Danio rerio: one gene and its partners. The protein of the gene in region 1 binds, or shares a complex with, the protein of each later gene. Links are inferred from orthologs where the notes say so. Each region holds a gene or a part of one and is shown in the gene's direction. Other genes may lie near its edges. The genes, in order: prpf19, xab2 and ppie.

The links.
Region 2: prpf19 (region 1) and xab2 share a complex: the UniProt entries of both Homo sapiens proteins name them as parts of the XAB2 complex. The link is inferred for Danio rerio from reciprocal best matches to the Homo sapiens genes PRPF19 and XAB2.
Region 3: prpf19 (region 1) and ppie share a complex: the UniProt entries of both Homo sapiens proteins name them as parts of the XAB2 complex. The link is inferred for Danio rerio from reciprocal best matches to the Homo sapiens genes PRPF19 and PPIE.

Annotation. Positions count from the first base shown.
Region 1 is NC_133189.1:18,665,312-18,668,965, forward strand, and holds part of prpf19 (pre-mRNA-processing factor 19), read left to right. Parts: intron 1-542; coding exon 543-684; intron 685-762; coding exon 763-836; intron 837-2,452; coding exon 2,453-2,518; intron 2,519-2,604; coding exon 2,605-2,646; intron 2,647-2,730; coding exon 2,731-2,805; intron 2,806-3,654. UniProt on the Homo sapiens protein: Ubiquitin-protein ligase which is a core component of several complexes mainly involved pre-mRNA splicing and DNA repair. Required for pre-mRNA splicing as component of the spliceosome.
Region 2 is NC_133178.1:55,854,034-55,858,422, forward strand, and holds the start of xab2 (pre-mRNA-splicing factor SYF1), read left to right. Parts: upstream 1-1,515; 5' UTR 1,516-1,619; coding exon 1,620-1,655; intron 1,656-3,594; coding exon 3,595-3,743; intron 3,744-3,826; coding exon 3,827-3,950; intron 3,951-4,389. UniProt on the Homo sapiens protein: Involved in pre-mRNA splicing as component of the spliceosome. Involved in transcription-coupled repair (TCR), transcription and pre-mRNA splicing.
Region 3 is NC_133192.1:26,693,090-26,697,449, reverse strand, and holds the start of ppie (peptidyl-prolyl cis-trans isomerase E), read left to right. Parts: upstream 1-1,453; 5' UTR 1,454-1,469; coding exon 1,470-1,500; intron 1,501-1,717; coding exon 1,718-1,816; intron 1,817-1,914; coding exon 1,915-1,958; intron 1,959-2,160; coding exon 2,161-2,187; intron 2,188-2,295; coding exon 2,296-2,377; intron 2,378-2,967; coding exon 2,968-3,071; intron 3,072-3,795; coding exon 3,796-3,919; intron 3,920-4,360. UniProt on the Homo sapiens protein: Involved in pre-mRNA splicing as component of the spliceosome. Combines RNA-binding and PPIase activities.

The DNA of each region.
Region 1 (3,654 bases):
TGATTTTAGGCCTAATTGCCTTTTGGGATGATGTAAAAATGACACATTCAGATGTAACATCAGGATTTGATACAATCATGTACCTTATCTGAAGATATTGTTTATATAAATGTTAAATTGATCGAGTGTATATACATTTTAGTCAAAAGTTTAACATGAATTTGATCTTTTGGCGTGCGCACTACAAATGCAAAGAATCTCCCTTGCACTTTTAGATACTTATATGATATATCTTCGTGCATCAAAATCTACAAGCAGTAAAAATGCCTACCTGTTCCCAAAACAAACCATCTGGCAGAGTCTGTACCATAGACTGGAGAAACAAAATAATCCTGTACCACTTCACTGGGATTTTAGAATGATACGTCCAGTTATTTATGAAATAATTCAACAAAGCCTGCTTATTCTGTGTGCAATATGTGCAATTATACATGCATCATTCAACGTATGAAAAACTTTTCCATTTAATATTTGGTGATTGTTATAAAAGAATGATTATATTTTAGATTAACACAGTTTTTTTCTCTCTCTCTCTCTTTCAGGACGCCGTGATGCTGCACAGTTTTACACTGAGGCAGCAGTTGCAGACAACACGACAAGAGCTTTCTCATGCTCTCTACCAGCATGATGCAGCCTGCAGAGTCATTGCTCGTCTTACAAAAGAGGTCACTGCTGCCAGAGAAGGTAAGAGTGGCATGATTGCTTTCAGGATGAGATGTTGACTGGAATTGTGCCATCACTGACACATTGTTCTGCTTGCAGCTTTGGCTACCCTCAAACCCCAGGCTGGACTGGTCGCTCCACAGGCCGCTCCTGCTTCTCAGCCCGCTGCTGTGGTCAGTAATTTCTTTAGATATTCATAATGTAGCGTGAAAAAAAAAATCTTAATTCACTCATGAACCATAGGTACTTTGAGGTTTTTCAAATAGAAATGGCCACTATTTTTAATGTTATTAGACAGCAATTATAATAATTTTTAAGGTAAAATTTTGTAGCAAGAGTAAACCTTAAAAAACGGTTTTAGATTGTTATTTTTTTGCTTTTTTATTATTTTAGAAATGTGATATTTATAAAGTGTTTAAATGTTTTTGGTAACTGCCTTACCATTTTTATTGAATTTCATTAAATGTAAAAAAGAGGTTGACGATTTTAGATTTTTGAAAGTCGACTTTTATATTATCAAAGTTGAGTCAACTAGTAGCTTTTAGCGTCATCAAAAAAAAACATAAGATGCAAATGTTTTGCAACATGCCACAATTTGCGATTTATTTGCAGGACAGAATATGTTTCCATGCTGTTGGAACGCTCATAACGCGTTGCAAGAACAATGCAACATTACACCAATGACACCATTTTAGTGCAAAACAAATACACTGTCGACTCTTTCGTTATTAATGTAACATTAGCACCCGGACTAAATTTTACTGCGAAATAAATGCAGTTAACACATTGATCACTGCACATTCTAGTAAGAATGTAACAATAACAGATATTTTTGTGCAGAAATAATGCAGCACACAGATTCATGTGACGTTATACATAACGCAGAAAGGACAGGCTATAACATTAAGCCATATTACACTGTCGGAGTCCTAATCAGACTCATATTTTATAAATATTACATTATATTTAATGTATTTTATATTTTATCGCTATGATCATGCGCACTAGAAAGCTGCTCAAAATCCTGCTTAAGTCAGGCGTTTTTTGTGGTCACTGGCTCATTTTAGTTACAGAAGTCTGCTTGCTGTACATCTTCACCAGGTTCACCAATGTTGATGATGTTTACACCTACACAAGCTGTGAAGTTTATCACACCTTTGCGGCTGTGCACTTCACATTTTTTCACAGGTTTGTAGAGGGCAGCAGACAATCACATTACTTTTCAGGGTTGCTTAAACCTAACTGGCACCGATTTAAAGTTCAATACAAGTTCACGTGAATCTTTGACGCTGACATAAAAAATACAGTTAAAAAAATGTATTTTAAATAATCGGAGGGCAGTTTCATTCAGTGACAACATCCGTGCACTCGTGGTTCCACCTTAGTGTGTAAAGCTGCATGTAGTTCTGGTCAAACAACGTGATCTGCACAGTGAGACTAGTCGAAGTTTATCAAAAAGCATCACGGCAGAGCATTAAAGTCAACTAGTTGATTAGTCGACTAGTCAGTGCAACCTCTAATATATATATTAAAAAAAAATTTCTCAAGATTCTGAAAAAAAAATACTTTTAGATTATAATCTCTTTCAAAATGAAAGATGCAGGAAAAAAAAGTTATTTCATATAATGCAGGAATTTATTTCAAAAGTTGAGAATTAATTCTGAGATGAATTGTGAATCCGATATTTATTTATTTTATGGTTTTATGTTCAATTTTAAATGTAAAATAATTCAACCCCCTCATAGCCATAGTACAATGGAGTTAAATATATAATTTTCTGTTTTCATAGGGTGCTGGTGGTGAGGCCATGGAGGTCAGTGAACAGGTTGGAATGACTCCGGAGATCATACAGAAGGTTTGTGAATCCACAAGTATATTCAGCAGTGTTCTCATTGCTCACACATGTACAAAGGGATTCAAAGACTTTTTCTTACATTACAGCTTCAAGACAAGGCCACTGTTCTGACCACCGAGAGAAAGAAGGTAAACGTTTAATTAGCAGTTTGTGGTCACTGTTATTTGATGTGCTTTTCAATGTCTGTAACCTTTTACGTGTTTGTTTTTCAGAGAGGAAAGACCGTGCCAGAAGAGCTGGTCAGAGCAGAAGATCTCAGCAAGTATCGCCAAGTGGGATCCCATGCTGTGAGTATCCAATTTTACACAGTGTGTATGCGTGCATATTTTTGTTTAACATATGTTGTGTAGGCCTGATGTCCACAAAGGTTATATAAGCTGGATGTTTTTTTTCTATATCATAAGAAAACCGCTTCTAAAAAGTGCTACATTTGGTACATTTATTGTTAAAAAAGGTTTAGTTTTTTTCAGAGGTCAATATATTAGGCTCATTAAAAAAATCCATTATGTTTATTTAAGCTGATTTTATACCATTATGGTAGGATTAGTGCTCAAAAAATAAACTATGAAATCCAGCCTGAAATAGGATCAAAATCCAATTTTTTTTTTAAAACTCAAGAAATGATGAGATTGTATGCAGAAGATGACGTTCCGGACACAAAAAAACTCGCACTGAACACTTGCTAAAGGAGAAAAACCCCTAAAATGTCTATATTGCAACAGAAACCAAGCTGTTAAAAATATTCTTGTGCAATGCCCTATTTTTATTGTTATCCGACAACAATTATTGTCTGGAGGGACTTGAAATGTAGTATTTAATTTTAAAATTGTTAAATTTTCATCAAAACTAAATCCTTAAAAAAAAGTTTTAGATTTTTATCTTATGTATTCTCATTATTACTTTGTATTTTTATCTTCTGTATTTATTGCTTTCGATGACTTTTAATTGTTAGAATATTTTTATAATTATAGAAAAGTATTATTTTTTAAAATGTGGTAAACCTGATCTTTTTTTGCCATGATATAGCCATAAAAGCTGATATGGCAATAAATTCAAAATTCTCTCTTTCCATATGTCCTGGTAAAAAAAAATTGCCAAGTAAGCATAAAATTGTTCTAGAAATCCTGTTTTGATCA
Region 2 (4,389 bases), on another chromosome or scaffold:
ATGACAAGAGCCTGCTTCTTAATTATTCATGACTGCACATGCTTTCCGAAGGCAAGACAGATCTGCCAGTGCCAAGCTGTGAGATCCTACCTTGATGACTGGGTTAAACAGCTTCCACTGACCCACGGCACACAGTATTTAGCTGTTCATGAAGGGCCGTATGTGTTTGTTTCGATGATCCATGGGGTTTGTTGCATGTTTTTCCCCGTGATGCTGTCAGGGCCGATACAGCAAAGTTGTTTGTGTGCAGTAAGCATTTTTGTCAGGAGAGCAGTACGAGAACTGGAGAATGGCGGATGTCGTCTTTTATCAGAAGTTTGTTCACATTTAGACACATCGCCGTGCTACTGTTTTTGCCTAAATCCATCCAGATTACCAGCAGGGCTAATGATTGAAATAGGCAGGGCAAGAGACCTGCTGCACTGAGTCTGCATTCAGACCTGGGGATTTATGGAAAAGTCCTCACCTCAAAGTGTTTATATAACACGATTATCTTTACAATAATATAAATTGTGGTTGTGTATTTTAAATTACAAATGACAAATGTAGCAGGGTATTAAATTACTGTTTATTTGTTTGCATTTTAACTTTGTAAACTATAAAATCATTAGTCTTCTCAAGGTTTGTGTCTCATTTTGTGAGCCAACTGACAACAGTTGTTCGCTCCCCTCTTTCTCCCCTGCTCTGCTGGCCACGCCCATTCCTGCCTCTGATCGCGGAGCTCCACGCCCATTATGATGCATTTTTGGAAAAATTCTGAGGCAGACCTGAACCGAAAGGAGTCATGACCCTTTAATCGTTACTGTGTTGTACACTGTTTGTCTTTGTTTACCAAATTGCTTAGCGTTATATTTATTTCTTATTGTGTACGTCTTGTACTTTATACTTGTATAATGTCCATTAAATATGATAATCAAAGACACGTGTCTAAGTATAAAACCACATTTTACTTCACATTTATATAATGTATGTTTACATTTTCTTAAATCAAAAATGTAGATTTATAATATTAATATATTATTAATTACTGGGCCGTGCTTCATGTAATTTAGTCATTTTATTTTTGATGTACAGTGAAACCGATGAATCCATGGTTAGGTAAGTGATGTTATAGAGTACACTGCTGTTATATTTGAAGAAGTACCCGACTTGCGTCCTCGGGTGTTCGTTCTTCCAAGTCTGAACTTCTAAGGACGCAAGTGAGTTACTTTGGATTTTTAGGTGAACTACCCCTTTAGTATTTGATGTATGCACGATTTTACATTCAATACAATTACGAGTACTTATATTTCACAACTGCTTTCATAAAAGATGCTTCAACAAAAACTATCTCAGTGGACTAATTCTTTAGATTAACAAACGATTCTTGCCTCCCAAAATCGTTTATTCAGGGTTTCTTCCATTAAAACGCCTTCAGACCGAGAAACACCTCTTTAACAGAAAAGCCTCCTGAGCCACCGTAGTGCAATGGGAGAAGTCAGCCAATAGGAATCGAGTACACTCAGAAAAGGCGGGGCTATTGTGCTCTACGATCCCCACACGTTGGGAAAGTGTTTGTATTTTTTGACAATAACACAAGTTTCTAGTTTTATAACGAGGATATATTCAGGCAAGGGAAAATGCCATCGCTAAGCGGAAAGGCGGACGTTTTATTCGTATGTATCTGAGCTATTTTTAAAGTCAGTTTTGTTAGTGTTCTCAATCTTTTCGTAGCTAGCTGTGATTAGCTCGCTAACTACAGCTGAATAAGATACACACAAGTATTTTTAATAATACTAATAAATTCCACATATGATTATTACCTGTCAAAATGAATTGTTGTGTCCTGTGCATTAATTCACCTCTCACATATAATAATAATTTATTTAAAGTGAATAACAGTAGTTAGCATAGGTTTACTTTAATTTTAAGTTATTATCATTGTTTAGTCAGTTACTAAGTGTCAGAAAATAACATTTAAAATTAACATTTTAAAAACCTGTACTAAATATTTCTGTTTCTTTCACCTAAATGTTACATTGAGGTAAAGTTTTTGTTTTCAATGAGGCGACATCATTGGCCCATGAACATTTCCTGTTGTCAAACTATTTCATAGCTGTAACAGGAGGCAATTCAATCATAACTTAATGTTAAAACAGCTATCATAACATTATTTATTAATATGTAAACCTTCTTGAAAGCTATGAAAATTAGAACCAACTGTTATCGTTTACGTCACTCAAAATTGTCTATATTCGCACATTCTGACTTTCTCCTTACAGTTTTTCCTCAGTAGCTTTGGTGCATTTCTCACAACACTATTTACATTTGAACACCAGTTAATACACATCTCAAAACAATTAGTACAAACTGCAAAACCTAAGATAACCTGCAAAAGCGTGTCACTTGCTCAAAATGGATAGTTCATTCCTCAAAAGCAAGTATTCACGTCAATGAAAGTGTCAGTATCATCAAAATGAGAAGTCTTGACACCATTGTTTATGAACAATATAGTCAAATGGCTTTGTCTTGTTTTCATTATGAATTATTAATTTTTTTCAATGCTAAATAGGCAGAATTTGGTGACACTTTCTGTAAATGCTCAAGACAGCAGTATATACTATTTGCACAGCCATTTGAAAACCAGTAAAGTTAGACAACACTGCATTTAGTGAGCTATCTGAGTACAAGACACTGAATATGTATGTTTCACATTTTTACTGCATTTGCTCTTTGCCATTCTAATTTATTCAAAGCATTGTGCAAAAGAATAAATACACCCTTATTTACAACAAACATAAACTTCCTTTGGATAGAGCTGTGCACAACTGTAAACAATATTGCACAACATATTTACCTGCAACATACACAGGTCTGTAAATCAGTCATGAAATTGTTCAATTTATAAGACATTTTCAGGAAAAAAAAAGATTTTACATTTTTTACAAAATTTGCTCGACAGATTTTGACAGCTAGTTCAACATTTGTGTATGTAATGACTCAAGTGATGAAATGAGGACTATTAGTTTAATATGGAATGACTATTCAGAATTCACAAGTTTAGTTAATTTTGACTGACATAAACAAATAATAATGTTATAAACAGCAGAGCATTGTATGAAAGCAATTGATGCATGTTCAAAAGCATTTGCAATTTGTTGGAGGGAATGAGAAACTGCTACTAGGATGTGCACAAATGACTAATTGTTTTGAGAAATGCATTACTTGTTGTGCAAATGTAAATAGTGTTGTGAGAAATGCACCAAAGCCACTGAGAAAAGCTGTAATAAAATATAAATAATATAACTTTAAAAAGTATAATGTGCAGATTATAAAGCAAAATCATATTAGCAACCCATGACTGTCAAATTACAACACTGTTCACAGTGAAAGAAATAGCTCTAATGTTGTTTTCAAGTCTTACTTGCAGGTGATCTCAGACCTAATATTTAAAGTAGCAGGGTAAGGGAGCATGTCACTTTCACTGTACGAATGTGCTATTAAAAAACAACTTTACCTCTATAAATGTTACTCACTAACTCAATAATCTAACGTTGGAGCTAGCTTTCATCAGTGTTCGTGAATCTTAATCACAGAGGCATGTTTGTTTTGCAGGAAGATGATGATTTGCCTTATGAGGAAGAAATCATCAGGAATCCATATTCAGTCAAGTGCTGGATGCGTTACATTGAGCACAAGCAAAGTGCACAGAAATCTGTGCTCAACATGATCTATGAAAGAGCTTTAAAGGAGTTGCCTGGCAGGTGCGTACATGTCATCATGTCATTTCCTTTTACACTGAAACCTGTGTGCTTTAAATCCTAAATATCTACATGGTTTCTTGCAGTTACAAATTGTGGTACAACTACCTGAGAGAGAGGAGAAAACAGGTGAAAGGAAAGTGCATCACGGATCCTGGATACGAGGAGGTGAACAACTGTCACGAGAGAGCGCTTGTGTTTATGCATAAGGTAAAGTTGATCTCTTAATTCTTACACAGGGTTTCTGTTAGTTGTAAAATGTGCTATATTTACATATTTTTGAATAAAGAGTGATGCACATGTTTTATGGCATAAGACTAGATCTGTGGCTGAAATCGCTTACTTACCTACTATATAGTTCGCTAAAAACAGTATGTGAGCCGAGTAATATGTCCAAATTCATAGTATTAAAAAAAAGTAGGTGAAAAGTAGGGCTGCTCGATTTTCGGAAAAATCATAATTACGATTATTTTGGTCATAATTGTGATCACGATTATTTAAAACGATTACTGTTGAAGTCAAAATTATTAGCGCTCCTGGGAATATGTTTTTTTTTTTTTTTAATAAATATTTCTCAAATGATGTTTAACAGAGCAAGGAAGTTTAACAGTATTTCCTATAATATTTTTTCTTCTAGGCTTATTTATTT
Region 3 (4,360 bases), on another chromosome or scaffold:
TTTGATGCCACATGTGACAGTCATGCACAGTGTCAAGCCATACTAAATTTCTAACCGGCCAAAGAAATGCGCTATAGGTGAATTGAATAAACTAAATTGACTGTAGTGTATAAGTGTGAATGAGTGTTTTCCAGCACTGGGTTGCAGCTGGAAGGGCATCCACTGCGTAAAACATATGCTGGATAAGTTGGGGGTTCATTCACCTGTGGCGACCCCTAATTAATAATGGGGCGAAGCTGAAGAGAAAATTAATGAATGAAAAGCTGTTTTTACCTTATTTTGTGAATATGACGCTTATGTCTCTGATGCTCACACAGTGTGATGTACTCTGAAATACAAATGTGCAAAATAATCATTAAGTCGTCAAAAACAATATTTAAACAAATTTAGTAGAGAGCTTGTCAAATTACAAGTTGAGAAGAAGAGGTCCGCATTAGGAGCAAGTGATGATCTATCTGTCCATTACTGCTCCCGAGTTAGGCATAAATGGGCATTAAATGCTAATTCAATAGTTTACATGTGTCTGTTGCCTCATTACAAACATAAACAGCAAAGTGAATATAATTTACACTAAACCAACAAAAGATACAGTTCAACAGCAGATTAAACATATTCTATTTTTCCTGAATTTTATGTTTAGACAAGCTGTAAATAGATACTATCTAAAGCAGGTCGCACACCAGAAACTGCTCAGTGCCACGCATTTCAGAATTCTAAACAGAAGTTTCTATCAGGGTCTGTAGCGATCAAATATTCCTGAGGTAACTGTCAGTGTTATTCTCTGATTTGCTTATTTTTCTGTTTTTTTTTTTTTTTTTTACCCTGGATTTACATGAGAATGAGGTGTTTGAGGCTCACACAGTATGTTATTTCCATGCATTAAACTTATTATTAGGCCTATTCAATTATGCATATGTATATCCAGATTTTCTTTCAATGGCAACTTTAGTAATATCACAATAGAAACTTTATAAATCATGATAGTACTATTTAATTAACTGATTCACAAAAATGCAGTACCTTTGCGTTAAATATTGGACTGCTTTTCATGCCAATTCACAATAGTGATTAAATAATTAAACTCTTTTTTTATTTGTGATAGAAATGTACGTGTTGCATTAGTACAAGCAGAAAGCACAATTTAAAAATGTATATTTTAATTACAACTATGCACAAATATACATAACTGATATGTACATCACATTCAACCTATTTGCATTCATTAGTCTGTTTAAAAGACGGTTGTTAGAAGTGTGGGCAGCACAAATACAGGGAGAACATTCAAACTCCAAACTGACCCAGCTAAGGCTCAAACCAGCGACCTTTTTTCTCCACTGTGGCGCCCCCGAAGTACATAATGAATCCAGAGTGTCAAAATGTCAATCAGATTTTACTCCAGTTCACCAGAGGGCGACATACCAAACCTCAGTGGTGAAGAACACAGCCTGAAGTCAAAGGTTACACGCAAGATGGCGGCCAGCAAACGTGTTCTTTATGTTGGTAAGAAAACATAAAATTTATTAATTTAACTAACAAACGTTTTGCTCGTTCAGTTGGCTAGTTTAATCCTCTAGCCTCGTACATTTTTATCGACGCAGTACACGTTTTTAGTTGTATCCGGGAAAGCAGCAATTCATGAAATATGAGCAAGAGTTGAGCGCTCAGTCCGTTTAAAGTGACATATCGCACTAAGTGAAACGTTATTATTATTTTCTAGGTGGTCTTGCAGAGGAGGTGGATGAGAAAGTGCTGCACGCTGCGTTTATTCCTTTCGGTGACATTACAGATATTCAGATCCCGTTAGATTATGAGACAGGTGACAAATACACAGAAGTTACATTTACTTTACAACTTTACCATGTGAACGTACGACCGATTTTTACTACCACTTTAACATCCTGTCTTTACCAACAGAGAAACACAGAGGCTTTGCTTTTATCGAGTTCGAGCTGGCAGAGGTGAATATCATATACATCTACACTGAATTAAGTTAAAATAACGCGAAATGTGCATCATCAAAGTGACATTAACTTTGATGCTTTTTATGATTCACTTATTCAAACAGTGTTGCTACTTTATACACTGTACTGTTGTTTCTCTGCATTAGAAGCTTTGGTATCAATTTGTCACTTAATTAAAGTTCTGTCTTTTCCCCTCTAGGATTCAGCAGCTGCTATTGATAACATGGTGAGTTCATCGAATTTGAATTTACTGAATTCTGTGGATTTATAAAGTTCAACACTATCAGGATGTGCAGAGTGGAGGTTTTTATGCATTTGGTAATGTGTTTTTCAGAACGAGTCTGAGCTGTTTGGCAGAACCATCAGGGTGAACATCGCCAAACCCATGAGAATTAAAGAGGGCTCCTCTCGCCCAGGTGATGGAAAATTGATTGTGGTTGATTTTTCTGTTTAATGTCTTGACACATACTCACTGCCAACTTCTGATTTGTACTTTATAAATATATGCTGTTTACACCCATACCTAAAGCTGAGTTCATAAGAATATATATAAACAAAACTAAGCTAAAAGGTATTGATGCTGTAAACAAAAACATCAGAAAACATCTGTTACAATGATATAGCTCATTAAAATGTAGTTTGCTTTCAAATTTTCAGTTAAATTACATATAAGTTTGAATTATAAAAAGCAGGCTCTTTAGTGTTTTTGTCTTTACTCGTAGCAGTATGTGTTATTACTATTATTATACAGTTATTATTCTAAATAACAAATCAATCCTAAAAATGACTGGAAAACATGCAACAACTTGAGTGATATGCTAAGATGAAATGCTAAGATAACATCATCTTGTGTGCTTTCACCATCGTTGTTTCGGTTGAACAGAGAATAACAAACTTGCACGTGCAAAAGATGTCAAAAGTGAATGGCCCCTAACACCTTTATTCTGGGATTGCCACTCTAAATTAATACACTTGCATAAAGTAAATTATGCTGTTCTGCCTATAGTGTGGTCTGACGATGACTGGCTGAAGAAGTTCTCGGGGAAGAAAGCAGAGGAGAGTGAAGAGGCCGAGTCAGCTGCAGAATCAGCAAGTACAGAGACACAAGAGGTCCGAAAGTTACAGTATTGGTTTATTTATTTATTTTTTGGATGGTAAATAAAATAATAGTAATAACTTAACATTGTCATTTTGATTTTACTGTTTATATATGTATTTTTTTCAAAGTCTAATGCTCCATTTTAAATTAGTTTTATCATTATTACTCTATGATTAAGGTTGTCTGCGGGGTCTTAAAGTATTAAAAGTTGGTAAATTAATGTAGAGAAATTTAAGGCCCTTAAAAGTTATTAAATATTCTTAATTGCTGTTTTGCAAGGTATTACATTTTTTAATAATAATATATTTTATATTATTGTTGATTATGCAATGTATGGTTGTATGCCAAAGTTTGCCTGAATTAAATCTGCAAATATCAGGATGCTGTGTAGTTTATGAAATCCTACTAGATTTGACATCATGCAATTTTGTTTACTGCAGTAACCAAGACAACACCATTATTTCTGCAATTCTATTGGCGTCAATCTGCTGTATTAGATAAAATTAATTTTTATTCAGTATATGAATAGTGTTTTAGTTTTAGATTAGTTTCTTACATTAATATTCAGTAAATATTCTATAAGTTAAAATCTCGCCAGTGTTTCCAGTTGAAACCTAAAGTGGTTTCAAGGCCTTAAAATGTATTGAAAGAGTCTTAAAAAGGTCTTAAAAGGTGTTGAATTGCCCTCTGATGCCTGTAAATACTCTCTGATTGGCATTTTATGTTCCTGAACAGGGAGAACCTCCAGCAAAAAAAGGCAGAACCAATCCTCAAGTCTATATGGATATCAAGATTGGCAACAAACCTGCAGGCCGACTGCGCTTCCTTCTGCGAGCTGATGTTGTGCCTATGACTGCAGGTCAGACATATTTAACCATCTCCTGCGTGTGCTTAAAGTCAGCATGGAATAAAAATTCACCAAATTTTTTATATGTATATATTCATGGTGAACCTATTCTAGCTAAAGTAAAAATGCTAGAAAGTTGTCCATGGTGATTCATATAATGCAAATCTATTTATAAATGCAATGCCTTGAGAGCAGCAACAGCACTTACAAATCAACATAATGACATCTACTTTGCCTGTATAATAGAAATATAAAAATAATATATATATATATATATATATATATATATATATATATATATATATATATATATATATATATACACACATGATATTTTTTTAACTGACATTTTATGAATCATTAAGGACCACCATTTTAGTTGTCATCTGTGATGACCAAAGAGGGAGGAAAATAACAGCATTATCCTTTTAAACTCGGTCCTACTTCTATCCC